Linked DNA regions of Danio rerio. The protein of the gene in region 1 interacts with the protein of each later gene in a biochemical or structural test. Links are inferred from orthologs where the notes say so. Each region holds a gene or a part of one and is shown on either strand. Other genes may lie near its edges. The genes, in order: ptprc, lck and csk.

What was found.
Region 2: of the proteins of ptprc (region 1) and lck, one has a biochemical effect on the other in vitro, tested with the Homo sapiens proteins (5 studies listed by BioGRID and IntAct, with this or other methods). The link is inferred for Danio rerio from reciprocal best matches to the Homo sapiens genes PTPRC and LCK.
Region 3: of the proteins of ptprc (region 1) and csk, one has a biochemical effect on the other in vitro, tested with the Homo sapiens proteins (2 studies listed by IntAct). The link is inferred for Danio rerio from reciprocal best matches to the Homo sapiens genes PTPRC and CSK.

Annotation. Positions count from the first base shown.
Region 1 is NC_133197.1:22,810,180-22,820,968, reverse strand, and holds the end of ptprc (receptor-type tyrosine-protein phosphatase C), read left to right. Parts: intron 1-957; coding exon 958-1,101; intron 1,102-1,184; coding exon 1,185-1,275; intron 1,276-2,836; coding exon 2,837-2,967; intron 2,968-3,104; coding exon 3,105-3,239; intron 3,240-3,915; coding exon 3,916-4,038; intron 4,039-4,408; coding exon 4,409-4,575; intron 4,576-4,662; coding exon 4,663-4,798; intron 4,799-5,671; coding exon 5,672-6,025; 3' UTR 6,026-6,585; downstream 6,586-10,789. UniProt on the Homo sapiens protein: Protein tyrosine-protein phosphatase required for T-cell activation through the antigen receptor. Acts as a positive regulator of T-cell coactivation upon binding to DPP4.
Region 2 is NC_133192.1:26,769,811-26,781,312, reverse strand, and holds the start of lck (tyrosine-protein kinase Lck), read left to right. Parts: upstream 1-6,293; 5' UTR 6,294-6,323; exon of another isoform or gene 6,324-6,447; 5' UTR 6,448-6,529; intron 6,530-10,374; 5' UTR 10,375-10,379; coding exon 10,380-10,478; intron 10,479-11,502. UniProt on the Homo sapiens protein: Non-receptor tyrosine-protein kinase that plays an essential role in the selection and maturation of developing T-cells in the thymus and in the function of mature T-cells. Plays a key role in T-cell antigen receptor (TCR)-linked signal transduction pathways.
Region 3 is NC_133200.1:21,918,087-21,929,546, reverse strand, and holds the start of csk (tyrosine-protein kinase CSK), read left to right. Parts: upstream 1-4,725; 5' UTR 4,726-5,074; intron 5,075-11,460. UniProt on the Homo sapiens protein: Non-receptor tyrosine-protein kinase that plays an important role in the regulation of cell growth, differentiation, migration and immune response.

The DNA.
Region 1 (10,789 bases):
GTTGTTGCACACGCATTTTACAATAAAAGTCCGATATAAGCTAATTGAGTTAAAATTTTTACTTTTGTATTTTTGTTTTTTTGATCACACACTCCGCGACCCACTAAAAATGTTCCCGCGACCCACAGTTGAGAAACATCGCTTTAAGGTAATCAAAAATCGCTGCTTACATGGTAGACTTTTAATCACAATTATCTTAATCCTAAAAGCAGAGTATTGGAGTCCATGTAAATTTACTGTAGTGAAAGTGGCCAATGAAGTCACAAGCTGTCAAAGACAGCCACAGCCCTATTCTCTGCCTTTAAGCTAAGTTACTTCCATGAGCCCTCACATCGCGTTGCTTTACGTTGCTGTGTCAGAATCTTTGCTTGTAAAATACAGCCATACTGTAGAACACTTAGTTTAAGCAAATTTGATTAACTCGATCATGCGTGTTGATGAATCTGAAGGGATCCTCACCGGGTCTGCTGTATTGTGTGTGTGTGTGTGTGTGTGTGTGTGTGTGTGTGTGTGTTTGTAGTCCACTTAGAATCCAACATGAAAATCATTTTTGTTTGTTATTGGCAATGATTGTTTTGAAATTCAAATGGCACTTAAATGCCTGTGTTTTTATTTCTGTAATAAATATGGCATTTTGTGCTTAATCAGTAATTAATTAATCAATCTTTATATTAATCGTAATTAAAAAGAGTGATTAATTAAGTTTTTTAAAATCATTTAACAGCCCTAATATATGTCTGTATGTATATAAAAACTTAACATTACACTCAATTCTATTTGCTCTGGAGTAAATAACTGATGATCGTTACCAAATGTTATCTTTAAATGTAGTCAAATTATATTTCACTTTAAACCACTATAAAGACATCCATCAAATTAGTTCTGTATGCAAGCAATAAGATTTCATGAGTGTGTGTTTCCTTGATTTAACATGTAACACTGTATTGATTGTTTCAGGCCCAGTACATACTGATCCACACAGCTCTAATAGAGCACAATCAGTTTGGAGAGACAGAGATCCTCCTGTCTGAGTTCCACTCAGTGCTCAACACCATCAGAGAGAAACAAGGCAATGAGAGCATAATGGAAATAGAGTTCCAGGTTTGTTCCATTTTATTATCTGGCTGATTGTGTGCTTTTGACTGTTAATGCACATAGTCTTCTCTCTGATTTGCTTTACAAAGAAACTGCCGAAATTTAAAAACTGGAGAACAATCAACACAGGAAGCAGCGAAGAAAACAAGGACAAAAATCGGGACTCAAAAGTCATCCCATGTGAGTTATCAAAAGTGACTTATAGTAATATGCATATTCATACATTCATTTTCTTTTTGGCTTAGTCCCTTTATTAATCAGGGGTTGCCAAAGCGGAATGAACCACCAACTTATCCAGCATGTGTTTTACACAGCAGATGCCCTTACAGCCACAACCCAACACTGGGAAACACACAAATACATACACTACGGCCACTTTAGCTTACCCAATTCACCTGTGCCGCATGTCTTTGGACTTGTGGAGGAAACCCACTTGAACACGGGGAGAACATGAACCATTGACCTTTTTCCTGTGAGGCGACAGTGCTACCCACTGCGCCACTGTGTTGCCCTAGTATACATATTTATATAACTCAAAAAATTCAAAGAGACAACTCAAAACTCTCTAGATTTATGCTTTGTAGTTGTGTTTGTGTAAAGTATAACATTTTCTACTGGTTTGTGTTCAATTTAAGACTTTTAAAAGACATTTTTAGATCATTATAAATGAAATTTTAGACTCAAAGCGATAAACGCTAAGGAATTTTTCAAATGGTCCAGATGGAAAAGATTTTTATTTGCCCTATCAAATATAAGTACATTTGATACATTAATTAATACAATAATAATTAAATATATTTTTAAATATTTTTAGTATTTCTTTGCAAAATATTTCATATATTGTGTAAAAACAAGCAAGCTTTACTTGTATCCATACACTTTTTCCAACATAAACTTTCTTTAAAATAAAAAAAATAAACAAAATGTTTTAAAAGTTATAAAACTATAATAAAATAAATCTACGCACAACAATCTGTCCAGGTCAACGTCCTCAGCAGTAAATACTATGATGGGCTGAAGAATCACACGACAAAAAGAACTAGTTTAGATCCCAGAGGGTGGATTTATTTACAAAGGTGCATGAGTGCAAAATCCAAAGTGGTGCTCCAGCGGGTGATGTTCTTGCATCCGTGGGGTGCTCAGTGTCTGTGAGATGGGTCTAGGAACCCGATCCGTCACCAACTGCTGTCTGCAGGAAAGAAAGGGAGAATAAGAGTTACTGCTCTGTTTCCTTCGTATGCTTCTCCCTTTCTAGTTCTTTCGGTGTGGCTTATGTAGCCGGTCTTGGATGAGTTGCAGCTGGTGCTGATTAGTTGGGAACGAGAGGGCCCAGGTGTTCCTCGTTCCTCTCCAGGACGATGCTGATAGCTTCATGGGATGCTCGTCACAATACATTAAACAAATGTTACTGTAAAGAAAATAATGAAACCATTATGGTAAATAGAGTTAAAAATTACCTTGTTAAAAAGTTTTATTTAGATCAATTGTTGCATGGGTGTTGGCCAGACTGGGTAGCAATACATGAACAAAGAAAAATTAAGACCTGATGTTAATACTAATAATAATTACCTTTATTGAATTAAAGAAATATTAACATTTCATTAAAAATCACACCTACAGTATTAGTTCCAGTAAACACAGAAAAAAAAAAGATTTTTAATTTGTTTTGAATTAGTATCAGATAAATATTATTATTATTATTATTATTATTATTATTATTATTATTATTATTATTTTGCAGATGATTATAATCGAGTGTTGTTTCGACTGGACATTGCGGGAAACCAGACCAGCGACCCTGAGGATGACACGTATTCATCAGACGAAGAAGAAGAAGAATCTAATGAATACATCAATGCTTCATTCTTAGATGTACGACTTTTGATTTTCTAGGCTTTAATTAATTTATAGATTTTATATTATTCAATTGTTGGACTAGAGGAGAAAATGTAAAATAATGAATAAATTACCCAAACGTTAACCCATACACACCTTTTGATTTCCAACAGGGCTACTGGTGTCAGAAGAGTCTGATCGCAGCACAAGGGCCTTTACCAAACACAACAGCAGAGTTTCTGCTCATGCTGTACCAGCAGCAAACTAAAACAGTTGTTATGCTCACAGACTGTCAAGAGGACGGCAAGGTATGAACTCCCACAGTACCAGACAACAGATAGAAACAAATATTGCTAAAGTCAACAGATTTCGCTATCACCAAATTATGGAACAAATATTGCTAAAGTCAACAGATTTTTCTTATAGGTGACTGAATAATGCAACAAATATTGCTAAAGTCAACAGATTTTTCTAATAGATGACTAAATAATGCAACAAATATTGCTAAAGTCAACAGATTTTTCTAATAGATGACTTAATAATGCAACAAATATTGCTAAAGTCAACAGATTTTTCTAATAGATGACTAAATAATGCAACAAATATTGCTAAAGTCAACAGATTTTACTAATAGCATTCCAAATAATGCAAGAAATATTGCTAAAGTCAACAGATTTCGCTAACAGATCACCAAATAATGCTACAGATATGGCCAAAGTAAACAGATTTTACTAACAGATCATCCGATATTTCTGTAAAAAAAACATAATGATGTAAAATTATTCTAAAAGTCATTTTTTGACTTAAGTGAAAATTGGCATGTTTACATTTTTCTCTCATAAAAATAGTGGGTTACGCACTAAATAAACATCAATGACATTAAATGTTTTGGATTTCGGCACTATTCTTGTTTTTTTGTAGACATTTTCTGAAATTTGATTGATTAGACATTCCGGTAGAGTGACCCATCTGTATTTTTTTTAGGATTTGTGCTGTCAGTATTGGGGAGATGAAAAGAAAGTGTTTGGAGATATGGAAATCGAGGTGAAAAAGACAGAAAGCTTCCCAACATATGTAAAACGTCACCTGGAAATACAGTCCACAAAGGTAAGTGGAATATCTGTCATGCTATTAACTGAAGACATGTTATCTTCGTTGAATTAAGTCATTAATGTGTCTGAAATCACACACTACTCATGTTGGTTCTGACCGTATTTGCCGACCTTTAAAAAAGTATGTTCTATATAGTACAAATGTGAGTAGCATAAATTAAATTTAAACATACTACATCGACCATTTATTATCACATCACCTACCTTATTTACCTACCTGTGAGTCATCCAAGTACTTCTCACCTGTTTACCAAATACAATTAATTTAGACAAACTACTCAGCACACATATTGTTTTCACATACAAAATTATTGTAGTATATCATTTTGGATGCACTGATTGATTCGTTTTTAATCCTATAATAGAAGAACGAAATCTTGGAGTTGGATCAGTACCAGTTCCTAAAATGGAAAAGCAATGAACTTCCAGAAAATGCTCAGGAGTTGATAGAGATGATAAAGAACATCAGAGAGAATGGCAAATATGACAACAGCAAAAAAAACAGGAGCATCCCTATAGTAGTGCACTGCAGGTAAGGCTAATACCGGAGACCTACTTTTTCTGGATGGATCTATGGATAGATTAAATAAATCTATCTATCTTAATCTCGTTTTTCCAGCAATGGGTCATCGCGTACTGGACTCTTCTGTGCTTTGTGGAATCTTATGGATTGCTCATTAACAGAAAAGTTGGTTGACGTCTTCCAAGTGGTCAAAAACTTGCGCAAGGAGAGACAGGGAATGGTGGAAACATTTGTAAGTTTTAATTCTTCTTTTGTAAATAGGATTTAATGAATTTTCTATTACTATATATCAAAAATATTCATCAATAAATGTTCATTCAAATGCCCATTGTAATTTTGTGGCTTTCAGAGAAGTATTGTTTTCTTGGGCCATATTCACATTATGCAAGGTTATTTTGTAATATAGGCTAATATAGACAATTTCAATGAGGTGATGCAACTAGCCTATGAACATTTCCTGCTTGTCCTGCTTGTAAAATTATTTCATAAATGTAGTAAGAGACAATTTAATAATAATAATTTAATGTTAAAACAGCTATTATAACACCATTTAGCAATATGCAAACCTTTTTTAAAATTCTGAAGCTATGGAAATTAAAAAAGTAAAACAGGAAATACAATAGGACCATTGGTATTGTTAGCATGCCCTAAACGGCATATAAAAGATGAAAAATATAAAGGTATAAAGAAAAGGAACAGAACAGACAAAACAAACCCTGACTACCTTTTTTTCTATATATTTCTAACAAAAAATTAAGCGTCTTTTAAAATGTTTCACAAAAAAAATCAAACAGGGCCACACATTCATAGTTTAATTAAAATCTTGCTAACTCTTGTCAAAATGTTTCTAAAAAGTGCTTTTAAAGAGATTTCAAAACAATAGGTTTTGAAGTAGGCCTACCTCAGAGAAAAGTTAACAAACATGGCCACAGACAAACCATATTTTTTAGCTAATTCAAACGGTTTTTGCTAGCATATGCAAAAAAAATGCTAACCAAAACCGGTTAACGGTTAAAAAGAATTAATAGTTAGTTAATGTATATCAAACAAATTAATAAACTATATTAAGTTACACTTCTGAAGTAAAACTCTGAACTCATCACAGGAGCAGTATCAGTTCCTCTATACGACTCTGGAGGGCGCCTTCCCGGTGCAAAATGGCACCATAAAGACACCGGCTGCAACCGACAGCGCGGAGATCATCAACGAAACACCTGTGCAGATTAACGAAACCACCGCGCTCCTCGCCGAGCCCGCCGCTGAGGCCGCCACCGAGCACGCCAACAGCACTCCTGCTACCGAACAGAAGGAGACGGAAGACGGTAAAACCACGACGGAGAGTAGTGAGCTGGAGGCCAAGGAGAACAGCAGTGCCGCGGCTTCACCAGCAGAGGGAGACGGAGAGAAAAACACACCGGAGGCCACAACCAACGGGCCCGCCGCCACTGTTGAAGCTTAGCCATTTTTATTCAGCTACATTTTACTGATTCGACACCAAGTGTCTGCCAAAATTGTAAAAAATAATATTTCTGGTATTTTTTTGGTTATATTTTAGTTTTACAGTACATTTGTTGTCGTTTGACCAGCATGTTACTGATCCTTTTAAACTTTTCCTCTCAGGTTTGAATTTTTCTGTGTAATTATGATATTTGTGACAAATCTGTTTATATTGATTGTTTATTCACACGTGTTAAGGTGTTGCTTTATGATCTGAGTTTATTAGGCTATCAAATTGCATTTGAATGTATTGTAAAATAGGACCTTACCATTTGTTTTGTTTTTAGAAAACTATCAAAGCACAATCTTGCGTCTAAATTATGTTGTATTGGAAGTTTGATGTGAATAAATATTTTTTATTTTTTTATGTTCAAGAATAACAAAATATGGCAAGGATGACTTGTACTACAGCTGTCATCAAACTATCTTTCTTTTTACTGTGTGTTTCTGAATCTTTCATAGGCTACCTATTTTCATTTTAAGCAGATGTAAGTTAACAAAATAATAAAGGCTTGAACAATATGACTGGTAATTGTTTTTATTCACCAATAGAATGCCTCTTCATTGCAATGTTTTCTATTTTAAATGAGTAGAAATGTTATCAGGATCCAAGCTGGTGAAAAGGGTTCTTTTTCTCAAAAAGTGGACTGTTTTGCAATTATACACCTCATTTTCAATTGAATTGTGAAATTTAAATACTGCATTTTAGTGACATTTAAGCACTTTTCTGAATTAGCTTGTCAGATAGTCATCATAACCACACTTTTGACGATTTTAGCCAAAAACCTATTTAAATGTGTACTTTTTTGGTGCTTCGCACCTTTTTATTGGTAATTTTTTGTTTTAAGAATGTCCAATATTTAAAATGTTTTCTCAAGAATACAGTGATCCGTGTCTTCTCTTATGCCAGATGTGCCACACGGGGCTACTAAAATGAAATACAATGAAACAAATTACTCACACCAAACGGGTGCATAAGGCTTAAACAAAAAGCATGCCTATTTCACAGGTGAACATAAACACGAGCAGTGTCACTTGTGCATTCGGGTCAAGGTATTTCCTTATGGTTAATTTGACCCGCTTTTGTGCTCGTCAGGTGCATAAACCTGACCTAGAAAACGCAAAACGTTTGAAATTAGCGCTACTGTGACTTAAAACAAGCCTTTGTATTGTAAAGATGAACCACAAGATGGCGCCTGTTAACAAAAGAAGCGCGTGCACGGACATTTCATCCATCTTCAAGCCAGCATGATTTTTTCCGGTAGGCCTACTAATAAAGATGTTAAATAAAAGCAACATCAGTTAGTGTGCCACTGTGGAAATATGTAGGTCTATAATGTATGCTTAATTTCTAACTTGCTATGAATAAAGCAAATTATTTAATATGCCTATTTTTATAACCTATAGGCCAATATGTTACATTATACAGTAGCAGAGGTGTATTTGGAAGAGTTTTATTTATTAGTCTGTTTGTATGCTAAACATTTTAATATAACTGTGAACAAGCCTATAATAATTAAACATAATTGTAAGGATATTAAATTCGGGGGGAATCATGCTAAAATTCAGGGGGAAACAATTTTGTTTTCCTTATTGTGAAATGGTGACACTGGAACAGATGAATATTTTACTTATATATCAGTAGCTCCAAATCCAAAAGTCAATTTTTAGTCAATATAATCTCACTAGAATAATTGCATTAACTATATTTATTAAAACACACACACACACACACACACATTATTATTTTTATTTTTTTATTGCCAGCAGTCAACAGCAGTCACTTAATTCTGCAAACTATTAATATAATTTCATCTACATTAAAAATGCACATTTTGTCATTGGAACATTATAAGTTGTTTCAACACCTTTCAACTTTTGAAATCAATTAGTGGAATAAACGTGATTTTCAGTGACAACAAATCTAAACATTTGTTAAATTGCCAAATGTCCTTTCTAAAGAAAAAAAAAAACTTCTATATGTCAATAGGCCCATATTTATTAATATAAACAGTGCTCAGCAAATAAAAGTACCTCCATTTTTAAAAATGAATATATGTATCTATTTCTCAGGGCATATGGGTAATATTGGTGCATTTGAACAAAACAGATTTATCAAACAGATGTATTTATTAAAATAATATTTTAGTCACAAAACATATTTACAAATTTAAAGATAATACATTTATATTCAAGCAAAATATTACAAAAAAACATTACAGCCTACAAAATTTCCACAAAACCTTATATATATATATATATATATATATATATATATATATATATATATATATATATATATATATATATATATATATATATATATATATATATATATATATATATATATATTTGTTAATTTTTTATATTTTTGAAAAAAATATAGAATATTTTCCCCTAACATAAAAATTCGGAATACTAATTTTTGAACCATAATTGTAAGTTATTTTGTCATATTGGCTCCAGATTTGGCTTCAGTACATGCTAAACTAATGCGCATTAATATAATATCATAAATCATCTTATAGAAAATATAAATTTAAATCAGAGATTTAAGGAGGGTGTACTTATGTATGCTGAGCACTGTATGTATATAATATTAATATATATTATTTTCTATGTACAATATATATATATATATATATATATATATATATATATATATATATATATATATATATATATATATATATAAGTATATGAGGATTATCAAATGTCCTTGTTTGTGTGTGTTTGTTTATTTTTTTAATTTATTGTTATGCATGAAGAATAGAAAATACTTGAAAACAGTAACTTTAAATTAAATCTTAATACATCCTAAGCCATGTTGACATTTTAACCATAAGTATGTATGCATTTTTAGGGGTTAAAGTGTTAAATAGGGCAACACGGGGTGAAAGTGAACTGTTTTACTGTGAGCCACGTCTGAACGGGTCAAAGAGGGAAATTCCCTTTAAATAAATCATCAGTGTATCTGCGAGCTGCATTTGCATTCAGCTGTCAAGTGTAACTCCTCCCCGCCATGCAATTATCATACCATCTTTCATATGCAACATTTCAACTCACTGTAGTTTTTGTGTGTTCATGAAATGTATGAGAATCCTCCTTTCTCCTACTGTACGTTCAATAGGAGATTTAACTGAAACTGGCCTCATACACTCTGTAATTAGTGTGTTTTTCTGTGACGGGTTTCGTCTCTAATTGAGCACTTCAAGCTTACTCTAAATATAGCAAATGAATGCAGAGATGCTCAAATGTTCTCTGCGGTTCCTCGTTATGCATGTTAACATGCTATTGGCCGTGCTTCATATTTGCATCTGGCATGAAATATGGGCTGCAGGACTTTTATATTTATATTTAATGTATTTTAAAGATGCTTTTATGCTCAGACACTTACACTATCTTTAGTATTTATGAGCAGTTTGAGGGAAAGGGGGATTATGCAGTCCTGTACAGTAAGCTAAATATTGTTTTGGCATAATAACTTCAAAATAAGTTTGTATGTTTCATTTCTATATTTCTTAGTAAGCTTTTTTAGGAAGCCATTGTTTGTTTTGTTAGTCTGTAATTACAGTCAGAACGAAATCAAAATATGTATATAGTAGTGCGCTTGTTATAAACTATTTATTTGCGTTCTTCATTATTTTGTACAAATTAATTTGCCTTCATAATATTTTATCAAGTGCCATAACCTTCCGTCCCCTTCAAAATGGCTTTTCTTCATTTCTGGTCTTATGGAGTGCTTCTTGGGAGGGGCTCTCGGTGCTTGTCTTGTTTCTGACCTACTTTTGTCCGTTCATCAATCTTCTTTCATTTTGTTAACACTCATTTTCCAACAATCCAATCGGTGCCTCAATGCAGAAATCATGCATTGCCCTACATTTTTTATCTAATTTAGGAACTGTTTAATGTGAATGTAAATTGTGATAGAAGAAAATTTGGACGATCTTAACTTTGGTTTCATGGTGACTAAAGGAATTACAGTCTTTTCCACAGTAGCCTAAATCATTTTTAAAACACAAAGTTTAGATTTGTTTAGAAAGAGTATCAATGTCTCAGTGAAACGGAAGTTGTTTCTTTTGATTCTTTTGTTTCAGTATTTTGATGTAATAAAACAGATTATCGAGTAAGGGGTGAGGCTTTCTTTTTCCATGTCATTCCATTGTAAGATTAAAAAAAGTATTGTGGCTGAAGATGTCAAACTGATTTTAACAGAAAAGTACCGTCACTCCAAACACAGAAGCAAATGGGGACTAGGGGTGGCAAAGCTGGAGCACTTTAGGGCCAATCCCAAATAATTTGTTTTTAAAGCATGACGGTAAAATGCAAACGCAGTTATAAATGTATTAAAACATGTGCTTGTTTGTCGTAAAAATTTGTAATAATGACAAAAAATACAAATTAGTGCATCTCATGACTTCTGGGTGCAGCTATGCAGCCATTGTGGCTGGTGTATTCTGGAAAATTTTCTTTCTCCTTGGTTTTGAGTGTGGTCCTGAAAAATCTCTTTTTCGAAAGCTATCTAGCTCTTCCTCTTTGCCCTACGCCATCAAGATAAAGAGAATTGGGACACCCATACCCCTTCATGTGAACACGCAGAATGAGGGTAAGGGGAAGGGCTAAAGGGTATAATTGGGATTGGGCCTTACTCTGGTTGGATAATGGTAATGGTTGGGGAAATTCAAAATTGAACCAAAACAAACGATTGCAATTGGCTTAAAATTGG
Region 2 (11,502 bases), on another chromosome or scaffold:
TTATGCAATGCGATCACATGACTAAAAATAAATTAAATTGATCAGAACAGGCTGCGTTTACGCCCATAAAAAAGTCCAACAATGGGCCAGTTTCTGTATTGATTGTAAGTGCGGTGATGGGACTGGCTGACAAAAGCAGGCAATGTGACTGCCAAGAAATGATCTCATCCTGGATAAATATTGGAGAGAGAGAAAGAGAGAGAGAGAGAGAGAGAGGGAAAAAAGAGAGAGTGAGAGCGAGGCATGACAGAGAAAGCTGTCTTTCCTTAAGCTGTTGTCAGCACTGACATTACGCCCTTTTGTAGTTGATATCTCATAAACCCAGTGGCATTAGGGCAAAACCTCCATTGAAGAGCTGCTTTTGATTTCTCCTTCAAACAGAAACACAAACTATTTAGGTCACCTGAGAAGACACAAAAGGTGTATAGTTGTGTTGCGGATACTGATGCCCTCGAGGTCCAGAGGGGAAAACAAACACTCGTGAAAGTGTCAAGCTCTCGTGTAGAGCTTAATCAAACCATCATGATAACCTACTTAGAACTCAAAAGCAAATCTGATAAACACTTTCCTTCTGCATTTTCATCAGTGTTGGATTGTTCTATTGAATAAATAGTCTGTTTGCATAAATGGGATAAATAAACATCAATGCTATTTCCTGGAAATTATTTGGTTAAATTTTTTTAAAGCAGAATATGTATCTGGAGCATGATTTGCATAAGGGTTTTTCAAAATTCAAGGGCTTCAAATATACACTCACCGGCCACTTTATTAGGTACGCCTTACTTGTACCAGGTTGGACCCCTTTTTACCTTCAGAACTGCCTTAATCCTTTGTGGCAAAGACAGTTACTGAAAATATTCCTCAGAGATTTTGGTCCATATTGTCTTGATAGCATCATGCAGTTAATGCAGATTTGTCGGCTGTACATCCATAATGTGAATCTCCCGTTCAACCACATCCCAAAGGTGCTCTATTGGATTGAGTCCTGGTTGTGGAGGCCATTTGGGTACAGTGAACTCATTGTCATGTTAAAGAAACCAGTCTAAGATGATTTACGCTTTTTAGACATGACGTGTTATCCTGCTGGAAGTAGCCATCTGAAGATGGACACACTGGTCATAAAAGGATGGACAAGGTTAGTAATAATACTCAGGGAGTGTGGCGTTGACACAATGCTCAATAGACAATAATGGGGCCAAAGTGTGCCAAGAAAATGTCCCCTACACCATTACACCACCACCACCAGCCTGAACCGTTGATACAAGGCAGGATGGATTCATGCATTCATGTTGTTGACACCATGTTCTGACACTACCATCTGAATGTCCCAGTAGAAATCGAGACTCCCCAGACCAGGCAACATTTTTCTTTTCTTCTATTGTCTAATTTTGTTGAGCCTATGTGAACTGTAGCCTCAGTTTCCTGTTCTTAGCTGGCAGGAGTGGCACCTGGTGGTCTTCTGCTGCTGTAGCCCATATGCCTCAAGGTTCGATGTGTTGTGCATTCAGAGATGATTTTCTGCATACCTCGAGTGAAACGAGTGCTTATTTGAGTTACTGTTGCCTTTCTATCAGCTTGAACCAGTCATTCTCCTCTGACCTCTAGTATCAACAAGGCATTTGTGCCCACAGAACTGCAGCTCATTGGATATTTTCTCTTTTTCTGGTCATTCTCAGTAAACCCTAGAGATTACTGTGCATGAAAATTCCAGTTGATCAGCAGTTTTTGAAATACTCAGACCATCCCGTCTAGCACCAACAACCATGCCACATTCAAAGTCACCTTTCTTCCCCATTCTGATGCTGGGTTTGAACTGCAGTTATTAAGTTAAAGGCATAATATGTGCAATATGAGAGTATCCAAAAAAAAAACAATTGACCAGTGACTTATGTACTTAAATGATCCCAAATGTTTTAAAGAATTTTCCAATTTAAAGAAATTAGTTATTTTATTACTTACTGTGTCCTTAACATTCACTTTTTAAAAGATCAAGAAGTGTAAGCTTATTATCATTTAGCTTAATTATCATTAACCTTATTTATTATTATTATTATTATTATTATTATTATTATTATTATTATTATTATTATTATTATTATTTATGGGTTTTGTGACCCAGAATTAACTCTAGTTTTAAGAAGATTATAATATTGGCTGGATTTGTGTTTATTAGTCAGGTAAACATTAGCTTTTCTCAATGTTGAGAGGATTTTAAAAACACAATTCAACTAAAATTTAAAGTGTATAAGCACTAAAGTATTTTTTGTTGTTTTTTTACCCTAACAAAGCCTAAGCGAGGACATTTGTTCAACTTTGATATTTTGAAATTCCAACATTACATTAATTGTAGCGTGTTTACAGAGTTTTTTCAACTTCATTTTTTTTTCTTGATGCATCAAGTCTGTTTAATGTTAGTATAAGTTGAAGTTGACAATTTGGTCTCACTTTAAATAAAGTGGTCATATCTGCTACACTAAAAAAAAAAAAAAAAATTATATATATATATATATATATATATATATATATATATATATATATATATATATATATATATATATATATATATGAACAATAAGTCATGACGACATATATTTTAGTTCATTGTAAGTTATTAAACTAAGATAATCATATTCTAACTTAATTTCATAAGTTATGCAAGCAGTTTTAAGTCAGTTAAACTTAATTGAAGTTAAATGGACTCATAAGGGTAATTTAATACAGCATAAAAATTTAAGGTAACCAGGATTTTTTTTACAGTGTAGGTAAGAAATACATACAATGTACTTAATGTGCTCATATTGTATTGCGCAACAGTTCTAGTGCTATTGAAGTGGTATATGGGTGAGGTTAGGAACAGGTCAGGTGGTATGAGTAGGTGTAATTGTACAATTATAATCCAATAATTATAAGAGTGTAATTATAATTTTAATCACATAAATGAATTAAATCTGATTACATATAGATATTTTTTTAAATAAATGGATGATGTGAAAACTTGTGTACAAAAGTGCATTGCACATAAGTGTACTGCGTAAGATGATAGTATTACGGCCACTTAATATAAAGAGGATTTATTAGATTTAACTTCATTTAAAACAGTAACTACTCTTTTTACAAGGCTATGAATAGTATTATTCTTATTTGAAAATGTTATGGCGTGTTATCTATATAGTTCATAAATTAAAACAAATAATTAATTTACGCAAATGTTTGCAAATTAATGGTAAATCTATAGAAATGTTTAAATGTTTAAATATGTAAATTTAATCTAATTATTAATATACTGTACTTTACTTGTTTTACATGCATTCGAATTTAAAGTGTGTCACAGCCAGGCCAGGTTCTCCCCACTCACAATCACATGACTCACCCTATTCACTGTCATCGCAATCAGCAAGATCCCCGTCACTCGAATACTAATCAACAGCGCACATGCACGTCATATCCTGCTCATCCCTCCAGCCCATAAATACCTGCGTGCTTCCTCACTCAGTGTCTGGCCTCGTCGCATTCGAGAAGGACGAACTCTCACAGTCAGTCTATTCCTATTCGAGAAACTTATCTTGTCTGCTCCAGTGAATCTTTAGTTTCTGTTCTTTACTGGTTGTGTGTGTCCCATCATCATCAGTGTTCCTCGTCATCCATCAGTCTCCAGTTCATTCCATCGCTGGTTTACTGCTCATCCTCAGCAAGATAAAAGACTTATATTCCTGTTTGCCATATACCACTATTCTGTAATAAACTGTTACAGTTACTCACTCTGTTCTGGTCTCAGTCTCCCTTCTGTGACAGTACATCGAGTATGATAACATTTTAATATTCAATAACATATTTAAAAATACTATTTAAATACTATGTTAAATGTTGTTTGAAAGCAGCTTTGCAGCAACACTTGCAACATTTGTGGAGTTTGCATGTTCTCCGTCTGTTCACGTGGGTGCTCTGGTTTCCCCCACAGTCCAAAGACATGCGGTAAAGGCGAATTGGGCTTACTAAAAATTGACCAAGTGTGTGAAATCAAAAGACTATAGGTGTTTCAGAGTACTGGGTTGTGGCTGGAAGGGCATCCGCTGGGTAAAAACATTTGCCAAAATAGCTGGTGGTTTATTCTGCTGACGCGACCCCTGATAAATAAGGGACTAAGCTGAAGGAAAATGAATGAATGAATGTTGCAAAAGAGGAGAAATAAACCTCTACATCAGAACTATGATTATTTGTTCGGTATCACTTTATTTTGATGGTCCCTTTCACACTTGTTGTTGAATTTAAGTAACATTGCATCTACATCCCAACTAATAATCATAAGGCTATAAGTAGACTGTTAGGTTGGGGCTAGGGTTAGTATGGGTTCACATGTATTTGCAAAGTTTCTTAGTCTTATAGTTAAATGTCAGTTGAAGGGGCAGCATCAGCAGATATTAAGCAGACAGTCTACTAATACTCAGTTGAGAAATAATTGGCATGTAGTTGCAATTCAACCTTTGGTCAACAAAATATGCAAAAGGGACCATCAAAATACCTTACCATTTGTTCTTCCAATAAAATCCATAAAACATTTTTAACTTTTCAAATTTTCTCCCAGCACCCCCTTGTGGCCCCTGAGGCTCCCGAGACACCCATTTTTGTTACAAGAATTCACAATCTCATCATCATCATCTGAGCATTTGTTCTCATATGAGATGAAATACCTGTAAACATGAACATGTCTGTTAATGCCACGCTCCACATCCTCTCTCCCTCAACCCCCCCTCTTCTCAACCACAAGACCCCAAAGAAAAAAAAAAAAGCAAGCCATTGCTGCATGTCTATCACAAAACCAAAAACAACCACCAGAATTTGGTACACTAAAAAACACAGCTTAAAAATTGTTAACTCAGTTTAAAATTGTAAGTTAGGTGGACAAATTTTTGAGCTCAGAGTTGAATTTACACATGAAAATGAAATTTGAGTTTAACTGCATGTTTGGAACTGTTTGTTCAATGAAAATGTAAAAAAAAAATATTTGAGGAGATTTTTTCACTTGAGCGTTAACCACTGAAAAAAAAAGTTTAGTTAACTTAAAATGTTTAAAGCAACTGGCTGCAAGAAATTTTGAATTTATCCAGCTTCAGTGGTTGAAGTTGTGCCAAATTATTTAAAAAAGTATCCTTGACTTAAACCAGCCCTTTCAGACAACTTAAAAAAATTATTTAGTACAACTTCAACCACTGAAGCTTAATAAACTCACAATTTCTTTGCAGCCGGTTGCATTAATATTCTAAGTTAACTCAACTTTTTATTTTTTACAGTGTACTGTGGTCAAAATGATCTTATTGTGTGGTCCATCTTGCAAGGATTGAGCAACAGAAGAATAATAGAGATTATATATTCACCTTACAACATCTCTCCCTTTTTTCACCAAACCACAGCGAAACACTCTTTTTCTGCTGCAATCAGCAGACTCACCACATGAAGAGGTGAAGTCCGAAGAGTGTTGGCTGACACAAACCAAAAATAAACTCAAATGACGGGCCCAAGTGTCTAAATTAAGACGAGCGTTCCTGCAGTCGAAAAGTGAAGAATGTACCTCATTTCCTTTGAATGTTTGGGCTGCGACTTCCTGCAACTGCATGCAGTATCTGCAGCCTGATGCCACAACAAAAGTGTGCGGTTTGCTCAGAGAGAGCGACAAGTAGACAGATAATGAAGAGAGGCATGAGATGTCTTCATTATATCCAAGTAGCTGCTTAAAAAACGTCAGTCTGTCTTAGAAATGATGCAGCTAGAGAGCTCTGCACTGACACAACAGTGACTTTGTCTGAAAAAAGCAGAACAATCAAATCTAACATGTAATAGCAATGCATGATACACATGAAAGCCTTCCTGTAGCTCTATTGGTAGAGCATGGCGTTAACAATACCAATGTTGTGAGGGTGATTTCAAAGGAAATCAAGAATTGATAAAAAGTGCATTCACAATACAACACAAGGATAAAAGCATCTGTAAGTGTAAATGAATATGCAAATGGAGTGTTTTGTAGTTCTTTTCAGCACAAGCACAAGCCAAAAACCCATGAGTGCCGTTAAAAATTTCCATTCTTTGACATCATGGCGCCACAAAACCAGGTGACAAGTGGAGTCCTGACCCAGAATCCTTCACCCCAGTGACAGCAGCTGCTCAGAGCGACGAGCACCTGCTGCAAAAAATGTTAAATATCAGCTCAAACACCTCAACGACAGGAAGCTCTATCATCAGCTTGCTCTGCACCGCTGTGGTGCAAGCGTGCGCGTGAGTGTGTGTGAGAGAGAGAGAGATGCCTTTGTAAATCAAGTGCTTCTTTTAAGGTGGGAAGTAAAACTGTGATGTGACGTACACATTTTTACAATTTGGCAGCACATGTCTTTGAAACACGCCGAAGAAGATCTCGATGGTTTGTCTGTAATTTGAGGTGTAATGTGTTCTTGGTAGAAAGATAACGGTTATGGGACATGGCAACGCCTGCTGAAGTGGCCCAGCATTGATATCCGTGTCTTCTGTCGACAAAAATACGGTACGTTTTGTTAACTAGGAGATAACTTTTCTTGCCTTCGTTTTGATGAGTGGATGATATCAGAACACTTAAAATGGATTCTCAGATGGTATATTTTGTAAAAAAAATACTAGTTGTGTGTGTTGAAACTTTATAAATGAAAGCCTGAGATAGTTAAAGATTAAATAAATCAATAAAAAAAAAATGAAATCTAAAGATGTTGAACTGTCTTAAACAGACATGATAATAATTACTAAAAATCGCTATGTGTATATAAAGCGATTTATTTTTAAATATATAAACATGTGTGAACATTATGCACAATTTTCCATATTGGTCGAATATTACTATCGTATATGTGATGTAAAAGTCAACCTGAGTGTGTTCGGCTTGAAATCATTTCAATTTGAATTTCTTCAATGTTCAAAGTAAAATTTTTGGAGCACTATTATGCTACTGTCTTCTTAACGATCAAAATGTGTTACATTTGTTTTATTAATTTGTTTAATTGTTTTGATTTGTTCAATGTTGTTCCGTTCAACTGTAAGATCAGTCAAGTAAATTTCACAATATTAAAAGTATGCCTTCATTCAGTACTATAACTGCTTTCAGATTGATATTGCGATTAAACACTAAATCAATAAAACAGAAAACGTTTTCTTCTTCAGTCACAGAAAAGTGCTGATAGATTAACACTGGTGGGATTTTTTTGATAAAGGGAATTTCTGAAGAAAAAACCCTATAGATAAAATTTTAATAGTAGCTGCCACTTTCCAAATTGATTTAATTGACTCACTTTATTTATAATCGAAATCATTCCATCACAATATGTTAATGTATTAATGAGTTATTACTTTTTACTCATATATTCTTTAGGGTAAGTTTAAAAAACGTTTAAAAAAGAACACTGAAAATATGGTTCGGTATATGAATACCAAGCACTGGCTTGGCTCTGACTGTTTGGTGTGAATCAGTCAAGTTGATCCCTCGTGTCTCAACCTCTTGGCCTCTGTTTGCTCGCCAGCATGATGTTGAGACAGTGCACAGCAATACATGAAAATCCTGTGATTCTGTCAGTGGGATTTCAGAGGCATTCGATCTGTTTGCCTTCATTTCAAAACTACAGAATTACATCCCCTGTAACAGGAGAAAACCGAGGCCTGAAGGAGCACGGAACCATCTGCCATCAATAATACACCCTATATGATATTATTTTTTTATTGTAAACTCTAAAAAAAAATGCACTGGAAATTAATTACATGATCTTTGTGTATTGATCAATCCAGAAAAAGAGTGTCAAATAAACTCTAATAATATCAACGAAAGTTGATTTGTTAAACCGCAGAGTTCGCACTTTAAAAAAGAACTGGCTTCCTTATTTTAAAAAGTTCAATCAAATTAACTTCAACACACATTAAATTCACTTAAAACATTAATTTAAATCTTGCATAACTTAAAAAATTAAGCTGCAATATTATTAGGTTATTTTATAAGTTCAACTGACAAAACATTTGTTGCCGTGAATTACATTTCTTTACGGTGCGATTTTCAACATCAAAAGTTGATGGAGCAGAGATCAAGATGCCAACATGCAATTCAAAAGTACAAATAAACACCAGTTTAATCACAAGCTACAATTTCTGTTAAAATACACATTCACATGATTTTTTACGGTGTGGAAGACAAAACAAGCACTCGATTATTTACAGTAAGTGATGAAAAAGATCAGCCCATGTCATGCAAACATTAACTGTGCTGCATATTTCATCGGAACCAAAAGCATCTGACCTTGTCGTGCATCTCCAGAGATGAATTTGCACTGTTACCGATAGGGTCAGGAGGTCAGTGGAAAGTCTTGTCTCTGTTTGGAGATCCTGCTTTGATTCAGGCTGTTCTCCCAAACAGTCCCAGAGGCACACAGTGTTCTTGCTGACCCAGGGGTTCAGCTTTTCCTGACCCGACAACAGTTTCTCACGAGTCCAAACCCCACTGAGACATACACATTGACTTAGCACATTAGCTCCGATTATGTGTCTGCTTATGGCCAATTTAAACGCTTGGACTTGTGTGTTTTCATGTGTGTGCTGTACACATTAGCATTACACTGGATCTTGACACACACTAAAAAAATATGTGGATTGTTTTTTGAACGTTCCATGTTCGTAACACAAAATACAATATTAACAAGAATAAAACACACACACACACACACGTGTTTAGTGTAACCCTAATCTTTTCATTCATTCAAATAACACTCTGAAACTCAGCGTGTGAGTTGGAAACAATTTGTCTAGAACTCATGAAGAGGATTAACCTCCTTTAACAGATCTGGACCTGAACTGTTTTTCCTACCCGGCGGTTTTTCTTATTAAACGTTAAATATAAAATAAATATTTGTGGTTCTTTTTTTATTCTCAAAAAACAGAAAATATATGCTTCGTTAATTCCCTCTTTGTAACAGTATGATAAATCCTACACAAATAAATGAATGCAGCTACTGGAATGAAAACCAAAAGAGAATATTAGAATAAATAGTGGTCACAAAGACCTAGATTAGGGGTTTTCAGTTGTTTACACGCTACAACATTCCTAAATATGATCGTTTTTGTTTAGTGAGAGAGACACCATCGAATAATAAATAGGTCTAAAATAATAATTGGACATTTACAGCATGATAAATCTTACAGAAACAACTGAATGCAGATACTAGAATAATAGAGAGAATAATACAATAAATAGTGGTCACAAAGACCTATATTAGGGGTTTTCAATTGTTTACACGCTACAAAATATGATCATTTTTGTTCAGTGACAGAGACACCATCCTATTATAAAAAGGGTGTAAAATAATAATTGGAAGGTCACAGTATGATAAAAATACACAAATAATTGTATCTATGTAGCTATTAGAATTAAAATCAAAAGAGAATACTACAATAAATGGTGGTCACAAAGACCTAGAGTAGGGGTTTTTAGTTGTTTACGTGCTACAATATTCCAAAATATTAACGTTTTTTTTTTTTTTTTTTTGATTAGCGAGAGAGACACTATCCTATTATAAAAAGGGTGTAAAATAATAATTGGAAGGTCACAGTATGATAAAAATACACAAATAATTGTATCTATGTAGCTATTAGAATTAAAATCAAAAGAGAATACTACAATAAATGGTGGTCACAAAGACCTAGAGTAGGGGTTTTTAGTTGTTTACGTGCTACAATATTCCAAAATATTAACGTTTTTTTTTTTTTTTTGATTAGCGAGAGAGACACTATCCTATTATAAAAAAGGGTGTAAAATAATAATCGGAAAGTTACAGCATGATAAATCTGACAGAAATAATTGAATGCAGCTACTGGAATGAAAATCAAAACAGAATATTACAACAAACAATGGTCACACAGACCTATATTAGGGGTTTCCAATTGTTTACATACTACACGATTCCTAAATATGTTGTTTTTTTTGTGAGAGAGACACCATCCTATAATAAATAGGTCTAAAATAATAATTGGAAAGGTTTTATGCATTTGTATTGTGTTTTATCATTCATTTTAAGCCAATTATAAGATTATAAGTCTTAATCTTAAGGATTATCTTAATGTTTATCTATCATATTGCATAATTTATTTATATTTATATAATTTATTTATTATTAATCAGCTTTTCAGTTGAATATATATTTTTACATGACTCTTTTTGGAAAAGCCTTGTGAAAAGTACTCAATAATATCAAAACATATTTATTTCTCATTAATTTAGGATTGTTTGGAAAGTGCTAGATCAGTTCCTCTTGAATTTATACACCGATTAATGTCTAACGCAGTCAGCATTCTTATAGTTGCACCATTTTCTCTCATGCTTAGTAAACATGGGGAACTGCGGCTCTTTTGATCCTGATGATGAATTCTCCTACCATCCAGATGAATGGTGTGACCAGTGTAACTGCCCCAAGCCTCCAGTCAGTCAGGTGTGTGTTTGAGCATCTGTGTTTGTGTGTGTACTGTGTTTAAATAATGGCTTCCACTTCCGGTTTAGAAAACTTCCACTCAACATGACTGAAAAATCATTCTAATTATAAAGCTCAACTAAATAATAAGACACTGTTTGAAAGAGCTATATATTTTCTATCATGCTGTTTTTTTTAAGTGAGAAAATAAGTATGTTTTTTACAAACCGCGCTAAAACATATAATTGTCTCCTTATTTTTCTTAGCATTTTAAAACATCAATTTTGATCATATACAGTACATTTATAAACAACAACCATATGTGTATATAAACCTATACAGAATTCACTTTCAGTGCAACCATAATACTGCTAATCTGCTGATACTCTTACACTTTTAATACTCTTGCTAATACTCTTAGACGTTAAAGATTTCTTTAGATGGTGTAAGGGGAATAATGTCACCTTATTCTATCCTGGTTTAGCAAATTATTAGAGCAACTTTAGGGCAAACTTAAGGCAAATCTGTGGCAGTGTACTCAAATAATTTACTCGAAGCAACATGAAGCTTAATCATAATTTACAACTTATAATACATATTTAAAATACAATTAAGGGAGTATCCAACACAAGTGTGCTAAACACATGACTAGTGCAAAGAAGTCGCTCACTTCACAGCAGTCAGTTCGAAGCATCGTGATAAAACATACCACACTAAGTGTTTTCCTTATTTTCTATAATTCACATATACATTAAAAAAAAAAAAACTCTTACGCTAACTTAGGCTAATTAAGGTAGCTAATGGTTAGCCAACTGTGCTAGGGATGTGACGATATAGGATTGAAGGACAATGACCATTGCACTCCTCAAAATTCCTGTAGGATCAACATTGTAAGGGGAAAGTTGCTTTTAAATGTAATCTATTAAAATCTTCAGTGACTTTTTATTTTTTATTAATTAACGTGTTCTTAACGTCTTTTTAAGGAAAGTAATGTGTTATGTTTTTTTTGTGTTTTTTTCCGTCTTGGCTGGGCTTAAAATTGTAA
Region 3 (11,460 bases), on another chromosome or scaffold:
GAAAACTTAGTTTGGTTGACATTGGACTAGTACTGAGCATTTTAAGAAGTTATTGGCCAATACCACCAATTTTCCAATTCTAAATAATATCGCTATGCTTCACCTAATTCATGTTTGTTTTCAATTTTGGTGGTCAGAAAAACAATTACCTTTGAAATCCAGTTTACTTAGTTTGGTTGACATTGGACTAGTACTGAGCATTGTAAGCAGATATATTGGCCAATTCCACCAATTGTCCTATTCTAATTATTATTACTATGCCTCACATCATTTATGTTTGCTTCCATTTTCGGTGGTCTGAAAAAAAGTTACCTACAAAATCCAGTTTTAGGGTTTCAGATTGAGTCAGCGTACTGAAAACTTTGTTTATTGACCATGGACCAGTTCTGTTTATTTTAAGCAGTTACTGGCCAATGCCACCAGTTTATCCATTTAAACTATTATCGCTATGCTTCACCTCATTTATGTTTGTTTCCGTTTTTTGTGGTCAGAAAAAAATCACCTACGATATCTAGTTTTAGGGATTCAGATTGAGCTAACATACTAAAAACTTAGTTTGGTTGACATTTGGACCAGTACTGAGCATTGTAAGCAGTTATTGGCCAATACCACCAATTTTCCAATTCTAATTATTATTGCTACACTTCACCTCATTTATGTTTGTTTTCGGTGTTCAGAAAAGAAATAACTCACGGAATCCAGTTTTAGGGTTTCCGATTGAGCCAAGGTTGTTTGTTTGGTTATACCAAACAAGGATCTTTATTATTAGGAGAGATGCTTCATGTGTTGCAGTAAACCTGCTTATTGAAATTAATGCGTGATTTTATTACACGTCATAATATTGTGCGCACAAACCCATAATTCAGTGAGCCCAAGTACTTTTGGGTAACGTATGAAGAGTTCTTCAGGGAGCACTGATAAAGGCAACTTTATTCACTCCTTCAAACTTAATATGAGAGGCACTTACAAGACAAAAGTCATCTATAAAAGATGGATATGATAGAAATAAATCAATGTGATAGAAATAAACTTTGAAATGTTTTACAACTGAAACCAGGAAATAAGGTACTGCTTTCATCAGATTCATTTGCTTCTTTTTTTCTAAATATCATTTTGTTAAACCTTTATTGTGACCTCTCCCAAACTTCTCTTTTTTTCTGTTGTATGATCTTTGTCATGTTCTCTTGGTCATTGTATGTTTATTTCTTATACTTTAAAAAAACTTTGGGTTAAGCTATGTACAATCTAGGGGTGACGTCACTAAAGTTGACCTCCTCAGGTGTCTAAAATTTCTTGTCTTAAGTGTTTGGAGAAACTAGAAACCAACAGACCTTATACATCAGCTAGTCTTAGTGATGCGGGGGGAGCAAAAAGCTCAATGTGAATTGTTCTTTTTTTTCTGTTGATGTTTGTCTGTAAGTTCACTGGTACAGCCTTTGATGGCTGTTGGAGAGCCGTTTGGTTCACTGAAATACATTTTGAGCTTAAAAACCAAGACTAAATGGGAAAGGAAATTAATGAAAGATAATTAATGATGCTAATGAAATTCCATTGTTCCATGTTTTGAGAACACCGAATAGTGAAATCCATTTTATAGTGGACGAGTACATACGTGTCTAATTATTCAGCAAATCCAGCTCTATAAGAGTTTAAAAATGTTGCCAAAATCCACTTGTTACTTGAGATTAGAAATATTACTGCTGTATTACTGATTTGCAGAAAAAAACAAAACAATTTGGCTCTAATTAATAATAGTTGCAGAGCCCAGTCGTAATATTCAGTTGAATATTGTTTCATACCTAAGCACTGCATATACTTAGATGTTAAAATGCAGTTTGAGATCATTCCTCTATAGGAGTTTGCTTCTAAAATCTATGACCAAACTGTCTTGAGCAATTGAAGAAGTGTTGTTGATGTTCATTTGCGTGGCTCCTCAATATTTGTCACAATGACATCACTGAAGGTTCCAGGAGGTTTTGTTCAGTATCTTTGAAAAAAAAAAAAAAGAAGCATATTTTTGGTTCATTTCCATTCTCGTAGCTTTTTCTTCACAGAAGCATGAGATAAAGGTTGTTAGCGTTGCATAACTTTATCATTTATCTCTGCACCTGTTGTAAAAGGGAAGATGCAATTTTGTGAATTTGTTCAGGCAACAAACTTGTTACCATTAATTATAAATTAACAACATATCTGTTCAGAATAGTTCTGATATCACTGGAAACCTTACATGCTCAACTTTGTCAACCTTGAAATGCAAGGACTGAATAAATAAAGAGAATGGAAATATGGCTGTGAATGTTGTTCTTGTCTTTTTTTTTTTTCTTTTAATAAAAGGATCATAAATATTACAATACTGACAAACTCTTTTTGTCTGTCTTCACCTGAGTATTTTTTCTTAATATGTGTTGCGGTGTCTCATAAAATCAAGGGCTATGAGTACTTTCAGTTTAAAAAGAATAAAATAAAGGGCTGGCTCCTGACAATACATTAAGGTTTTATGAGGCAAAATTTGTAATTAAATAATTTAACCTCATTGTGATTTAAGAGCCATGGATATTATTTTTGTGTTGTTTATAGGGTTTTTAATTATCAAAATATGGGGCCAAATCAGTCTCAAAAATAATACATTTTTAGAAATAATACTCATACATGCAAAGGTCAATCACATTTACAAAATCCAATTTGTAAATTCAAAGCATAATTCATAAATACAACATACGATTTGTGAATTCACAAGTAAAAATCATAAATATTTTCACCTAATGAATTGGATTTGTGTGTATATTATGAATCGTGTTTTGAATTTATGAAATTGATTTTTGTATTTATGAATCATGTTTTAAAATTACAAATTGGATTAGTGTAATTACGAATTGTTTTGAATTTTAGAATTGGATTTGTGCATTTACGACTCCTGATTTGAATTTACAAATTGGATTTCTGTACTTATGAATCGTGTTTTGAATTTACTAATTGGATTTGGCACTTTTAAATTGTATTTTAAATTTATGAATTGCGTTTGTTTATTTATAAATAGTGTTTTGAACTTTCGAATTGGATTTGTGTTTTTATGAATCGTGTTTTGAATTTACTAATTGGATTTATACATTTTTAAATCATGCTTAAAATTTATGAATTGGATTTGTGTATTTATAAATTGTGTTTTGAACTTTTGAATTGGATTTGTGTATTTACAAATCATGTTTTGAACTTTTAAAATGGATTTGTGTATTCAGGAATCATTTTTTAAATCTTTCTTATTGAATTTGTGCATTTACGAATCGTGTTTTGAATTTACGAATTGGATTTGTGCATTTACGATTTTTTTTGAGCTTTTAAATTGTATTTGTGCATTTTCAAATCCTGTTATGAATTCCAAACTGGAATTTTGTATTTATGAATCGTGTTTTGAATTTACTAATTGGATTTTTGCAGCTTTAAATCCTGTTTCAAATTTATGAATTAGATTTTTGTATTTATGAATCGTGTTTTGAAATTACGAACAGGATTTGTGTAATTACAAATTGTGTTTTGAACTTTCGAATTGTGTTTTTAAAGTTACCAATTGGATTTTGTAAATGTTTCTTGTGTTGTGGATGTATGAATAATATATTGCAAATTTACTATTTTTGAGACTCATCTGGCTCCATATCAAAATGTCAGAAGCTTGTGACTTGCATTCTCAGCTAAAAATGTTCCTAATTTTTCTACTGGATAGAAAAAGAGTCACCTACCTCTTGCATTTACAAATTCACATTAAAATTCTGGTCTAAGAGTTTCTTTAAATCAGAGATGCCCAAACTAGGGCCCGCGGGCCAAAATTGGCCCATGATAATCTTTGATTCATAGAAGACATGGACAAATGATGGGGAAGGTTGGGGCAAGAGGTCGTCAGTTCTAATTTTACATAATCTTTTGTTTGTTGGTTTAATTGCAGAGCTACAAAAAAACAAAACTTTGAATGTGAATGAATCAGATTTTACCAGGGCAATGAAATCCTTATACACATTTTTTTTTTTAAATGTTGAACGATTTTTATGTTATAAATAAAATTGTTTATGGTTTTATTGTAAGAAGTACCTTACAAAATTTAAAATACATATACAAGTATTCATACGATTATAGTTTTTTTATATTATTAAATTAGGGAGTTACCATGACAACTTTAATGTAAAGCAGTTTGATATGTTTGGCTTCAGTCCACCACCCTCAATCATGTTTAGATTTTGGCCTTTCGTAAGAAAAAGTTTGGGCACCCTTGCTTTATATATTACATTTGAATGGCTTTATTGTTGCAATTCTCTTTAAAAACGCTTGCTGTCGCTCCTGCTGCAAACTTATGAATCCTACCACGGTAAGGGACTATCTTATGAATGTTAAGCAGTCAATGCTAACATTGCTCAGTGTCTATTTTGTAAACCTCGTTAATATTGACATATTCACAGTAACATTTGTCATTAATCCTGCTTTACTCTTGTTTTCGGAAAATTTTCTTTAGCCTCACATATTTAATATTGAGAAGCCATATGCCCTCGCAGTAGTAGAATTCGTAGCATTACGACGCATGCGCACAACAAACGGGGCTGTCTGAAGAAGTGCGTTTCCTTTTCAAGGGCCTGTGAATGTGTGTGTGTAAAAGACAGCTGGAGCCCTAGGGTGTGCTGCGCTTCCGTAAAGCTTAAAAACTGCTCGCTTTAGGCGGCGTAGCATTTATCGACTTCCCTGGTCAGTAATAAGCTGCAACAGTTGCGTTTTTTTGGGGGGCTGAACCGTTTGTTTTCTTTCCCGCGCTGTGTGTTTTGTATGTGAGGCGTATATATAACCGCCGCTGTCTTTAACGGTTTTTTGCGGGTATATTTGTATGCACGGACGAACCGAACATCTTTTGTCTGGGTTGATGTTAAAGGAAAGCTCGTTGGAAGATCTATTTGACGCCGAATGTGTGAATGATCACGTCTGTATCTCGTGTTGATGCATTCTGGTGGGTTTGACCCACACATGGACTAAGTGGACGATCTTAAAACATCTACAACTTCAAGGCATTTGGACACCATCATCTGCAGAACACCTATAGGTAATGTGTTTTTGTTTTCGCTAATGTAACTGCGTGATATTAACCATATTTTTAGTATCTACTTGGACGTCTCATAATGGACGCATTGTGTTTGCGAATCTGAATGCGATGGGTCTGTTTTACAGCTGTCTAAATAAGAGCCACTTGAAGCTGCTGCATGAGACAAAAACGTGTCCTTCATGTTTTGTTAATCATCTTAAATAAAGCATATGCTCAAGATGCAAAGGGTTTGTTCCCAGAATGCACTGGGTGCGAGAAGGCGAAATGGACTAATGCCATTTTGAGATGCATTGTCTTTTTTTGGACCATCCGTTCTGTTCCCCATCAGCATCATTTTGGATTATGTTGTCATGGTTTCTTGAATGTTTAATAACAACATCTGAATGTAGGTCTGGCCTGTACATAGTTGACCCATAATAATACCCTTTTTAAAAGGAAATAGTAAACTTATTTACTAATAAACACCACCAGAGTCATTTGTGACCCAACCTGTCATGGTATTTAAAAAGAAAAAAAAATCCCATGTTAAAAAGACGGTTATTCAAATCATAGCAGAAAGGTCTCTCTGTGTTTTTGCCTTTATTAATATTAATGAGTTGCATTTATAAAGGTTGAAATCCAAAGGTCACTTCCTCCTGCTAAAGTGCAGACTTTAAAGACACGCTTCCCCAAATAAGGAGAATTGTAACTATCATGCTGTTTCAAACCAGATTTCTATTGGCTGTTCTTGCTTCTAACATTTTCATAGTGAATAGAGAATGGCTTTATGATGACAAAAAGTAAAAGTGTCATAATAATGGTTCACATTGTACGTAGTCCTGTACGCAGTCAAATCTTTGGAATGGGCTTGACTGGAGAAAATGCACAAATGTGACTCCACTTGTGTACATAAACAATATTAAATGAGCAATTCCATGCAAATGTCAACCTTGCCATGAAAAAATGAAGTTTTCACTAGAAAAGCGAGCAGTTTTTACATTTTTTTTGTGTAAGGAAGTATTTTACAGTACTGTAAACATACTCAATAATGAGTTTGTTAACATGGACACCAATAATCAGATTTTTATACGATTAAGACAATACTCTGGTTAGGAGTGATTTTTGATTAATTTAATCCGATTAAGATTATAATTGAACTAAAGAGAAATCGAATTAAGACATGTGGAGTATGTCGATACTTCATTATTGAAGTGCAGAACAGACATGTAAACAGCTTAATTAAACTATTACCATCATGTAGGACTTTTTGCTGCGTTTTGCGACTGGATAGTCCACACACACACACACACGGCTGTTTGACACTATTCTTTGCACCTAGAGTCAGTTAAGGACCACAGACACATGCACTGTGAAATGCAAAGTTTTTTTTTTCCATTCAGCGAGCGGTATGAAATTCCATTAAAACAACACACATCCAACAATTCATAGTTGCATCCAATATCTTGTTTGTCACGGGTGCATGCATGAAATGTTCCTGAATGAAAGTGAAAGAACCAAACTGCAGTTAAAGTGGAAAAATGAAAACTAAAAAAACTCAAAATGACATGAAACTCTGGAGAAAATGTGGATAGCATGGTGACGCAATGATGGTAATCGAATAATGTGCTATAACATGTAAAACTTGATCATGAAAGGAACATTCAAAAAGCAACTCGTGTACACCATAATAATATTATTGTCTTAATTAGATTAAGGCAAATAATTTGATTACTGATGTAAATGTAGTCAGTGTCTCTGTCAAATTCAATTGTCAAATTGGTACAGGTGAATTGGGTACACTAAATTGTCCGTAGTGTATGAGTGTGAATGATGATGTGTAGATGTTTCCCAGGGATGGGTTGCGGCTGGAAGGGCATCCGCTACGTAAAACGTGCTGGATAAGTTGGCGGTTAATTTCGCTGTGGTGACCCCGGATTAATAAAGGGACTGAACCAAAAATAAAATGAATGAATGAATATAATATGTTTTTCATGTACTATATAGTCTGGAAGTATGTGATTTCAGACACAGCCATCGTATTCAAAGCGGAAAAAGGTTGTTTTTAGTTTTTTTACCCAGACATTTAAGAAGAATATGATGACCCACATACGAAGTATACTTGTTAATTTAAAAAACAGTGCTACAGTTAATTATCCTTGATGAGTGTGGTGTTTAGTCTGTGTAACCCCTCCCACTGAAAATTTACCCAATTATATTCCAGCATCCTGGGTTGCCATAGTGTAAAGCACATAGTATTTCTTTTCAGGCTTGAAGACTGCCTCAGTATTTGCAGGTACGGCTTGAAAAAAGCAGCCTAGGAAAACGTAATGTGCCTTTAACATAACTACATGAATTGAAAAAAATATTATTAATATGGAAGAATAAACATTAAGTAGCTGTCTAAAACTACTTTGTTGATACAGTTAGATTAGTTACATGTTATGAGCCACCACATTTCTTCAAAAATTTTGCTCTTTATTCGTTTTTAAAGTGAAGTGATATACTATTTTTGCATTCAGTTGGACACTGAGCTGCATTACATACTAGCTGACAGGTAGGTATATCAGATGAAAGTGCCAAGATATTGGATGTCTCCAGTGAAACCACTCCTGTTTTTACCTTGCGAATTCCATTTCCTGTCAACGGCTTTTAGGAGAATGTGTTTTTCTCATGCACATGAACAGTGTCAGACAGAAGCGCCAACTAGGGATGCTTGATTATGGGAAAAATCATAACCACTACAGTGTTTCCCCTAAGTTTTTGGGGGGTTGGGGCTGTGGTGTGACACGGCCCAATGCAGCATGGCTGTTCAGCCTCACACTGACACAAGGAGTCATGGTCTTTTAATGACAGCAGTAAATAACTGAGCAACTATTTGAACTGTACAACCGTTTGTAATTTATAAATTAACTTTTATTTTATATCTTTTTTTATTCACAAACTGTGCAGCTTTTGTCACTATAATGTATCTTTTTGGGCTTCTGGAAGAACACTTCCTGTGCCTCTTGGTATGGAAAGTCAGAAATGTCTGGCCCATTTATTGAGACATTTATTAAACATGTCTCGTATAAAAATTTAGATGTGAACATGTCATGACCAGATGCAGCTCTACAGAAAATATTTCATCCATTTATTTTACTGAGCTTAGTGTCTTATTTATCAGGGGTCACCAAAGTAGAATGAACCACCACAGAAAAATGACAAACTATGCAATTTGGAAATATTGCAAATGATGAAAGATGAAATTTAGTTAAAATGCACATCTATAAATCTAATACTTGTTTGTTAAAAGGAAATAGGTCCATAAACTACTACTTATAGCAATGAGTATTACAAGTAGTTATATTAGTAAATATTTATGTAAAAAAAGTTTTATCTAATAAAGTGAATTTTAATATTATCAACACAGAACTTTCAGTTGTTATATGTAAAAAGGCCTAAATATGTGTAGGACCAGTCAAATATTTTGCCTCTCTCCAACTATTGACAGCAGATCTCTCAATGAGATAGAGGGGATTTGCACTCGCTTTATCTTTACTGCTCTATTCATTTAACCTGTGAAATGTAATATTTAGACCATCACTGTGCCTCTCGCGATCTGTTCACTTGCTTATTCACTCTTGTCGCCATGATTGCTGAGTATTTTAGTTTATTTTGGGGGGGATCACAATATGAATTTGCGGAAGACACGCAGAGCTTTCGAGAGAAGTCATAACTAGACACTAGATCAGGGATGTCAAACTCTATTCCCGCAGCCCTGCACAGATTAGTTCCAACCCTGCTCCAACACACTTGCCTGTAGGTTTCAACAAGCCTGAAGGACTCAATTAGTTTGATCAGGTGCGTTTAATTAGGGTTGGAACTGAACTCTGCAGGGCTGCGGCCCTCCAGGAATTGAGTTTGACATCCATGCACTAGATGGAGGAGATACCTCCGCTCGCAACACAGCATATGACATGCGCGATTTCCGGGAGATTAGTATTCGTTTGCAAGCGTCTGGGGTCTCTATGCATTTGCGGGAGACTCCCGGAACTTTCGAGAAACTTGGGATGTCTGCATTTGTAAATATTTTAGCTGCAGTGATGCGAGCGCAGAACAGAAATTACATGCTGTTGTGTAAATAAGATATTACATACGGCTATTTAGCTTGTTTAATAAAAAAACGTTGTGATCTGCCGCTACATAGATAATCCAATTAATGTGACTTAATTAAGGGGGGCAGGTACAGCCCTTGGGAGGGTGGGGCGCCCCCTTTATATAATGATATGGGAAACACAGCACTATTATTTTGGTCATGATTGTAATCATGATTATTTAAAATGATTATCAGTGGGCCACATGACCACACATTGTGTGTGTATATGTAAAAACCAGGTTGCTGTTACACCTATACTTTTCAAAAATCATTAAATTACACAATTCAATTCATCTATTTTCTTTTTGGCTTAGTCCCTTTATTAATCCGGCGTCGCCACAGCAGAATGAACCACCAACTTATCCAGCAGGTTTTTACGCAGCGGATGCTCTTCCAGCCGCAACCCATCTCTGGAAAACACACACACTCATACGCTACGGACAATTTAGTGTACCCAATTCACCTGTACCGCATTTCTTTGGCTTTTGCTATCTTTTGTAAATATCCGGAAAATTTCCAGAACGACTTTACCGGTAAATTCAAGAAAGCGCTGTTCACATAGACGAGGACGTTATGGAATTTTCCCGGAAAAGACCGTTCACACATCCATTCCAAAATACTGATAAATTCTGACCAGAAATGACCAGAAATGACCTCTAAACGGCTGCGCTTGTATTTGTAAACATTTGACTACATTACGAACTCTGTGGATGGATCAGTATTATGAACAACTTTGATGAAAACATATTGAGAAACATTTTCAGCACACCAGCAAATTACCGGTAATGTTACAACTTCTCATTCGGGAAAATAACCGGAACGAATTTACCGGTATTTTCAAAAAGGGCCAGTTCACACATACAGACCTCTCCGGAAAATTGCCGGTAATTTTCCAAAAAGAACTGTATGTGTGAAAGGGTCTTACGTGTCATTTGCAGTGAAATGAATGCAGTTTGCTGGAGTAGCGGAGAGATCTGACGCAATAATATGGCTGCTGGATATGACGTAATAATAGTTTATTCTTGATTAATGTTTTTTCATAAATGTTAAAGACCAAAATTGAAATTGAATTTCGAAATTGAATTGAATTGCACAGGTCTGGCATCAACAGCTTTCAAACTTGGCATTTTTTAAATGAAAAGTCTCCGCAACCCACTAAAATGCTTCTGCAACTCACAAGTTAAGAAATACTGGTTGAAAGGGCTGTGCACATAAATATACACTATACTTTGGTCATTAATGGATAGTTATGCTCCTATTGCTTATTTTATTTGTCATATAAGCATTTATATTTATTTTATAAAGGATAATCCCCAAACTGCCGTATCCTTCAGTCCATAAAATAGTTTGATAAAATTTGCTTGATGTTGTTGAGCAAATGGACGTTAAAATACGAGGCCCTCTTTTGAAGAGCATCAAAACAGCTCTTCCTGTTCAGTTCCTTTAAAATCACACCTGCGAGAGCTTCTCGGTCGGGCTTCACTGCATCTCGTCTGTCAGAATAATTGTATTTCTGAACAACTCGGCTCTGTCATTTACAATGGGTTTTCCCCTGCTGCTGAACTGCTGTGCTTTTCACTTGCTCAAAAAAGCATTTGTGGTGTTCTGCTCGATTTGCGTGTGCAAGAACATTGTTTTTCTGGCACATTTCGCCAGCAGCAGTCAGTTTTACAGGCATAGGCTGTTTCCTTATTCGCGTATACTACTCAATTCGACGTTAACACTTCCTTAAAGATTCACAAAACAACACGTGACACTGCCGTATCGCTTATTACGCTTCTACTGTCGTGTTAAATTGCAGTGTTACTTTGCCCTTTTAAAATAAGGAAACGAGGGACCATCCTGCTGCAAATATGACCATGTTGTGTTTCAAGGCAAGCTCAAGTGAAGTCATTAAAGCTGTCTGTTTGGTTGTAGAGCTGGACTTGTTTATGTTGGTAGTCTCTTTGCCTCCCTACTGTCACAGAGCCTGGTCAGTAGATGACAGAGCAGTGTAATTAAGCATCAAAGAGAGCTGCTGGAGCTGTTCTGCCCAGAGGGAAGAGTGTTCGCAGGGTCAAGCTGGTGAGAGACGCCCCCCTGCTATGATGCTGGATGGCGTGGAGCTTAAAAAGCTTTGTGGTCACAGAATGGAGGGAAATAACTGGGCATAATTATAAAGGCTAATGATATACGCCCAGTGTGACCCTCATTTTCTGGGGTTGTTTTTGGCCTTGTTGTATTTGCATTTGAAATGAGTGTGAATTTGTTCAGCGTAGGTCAGTCTCCAAAG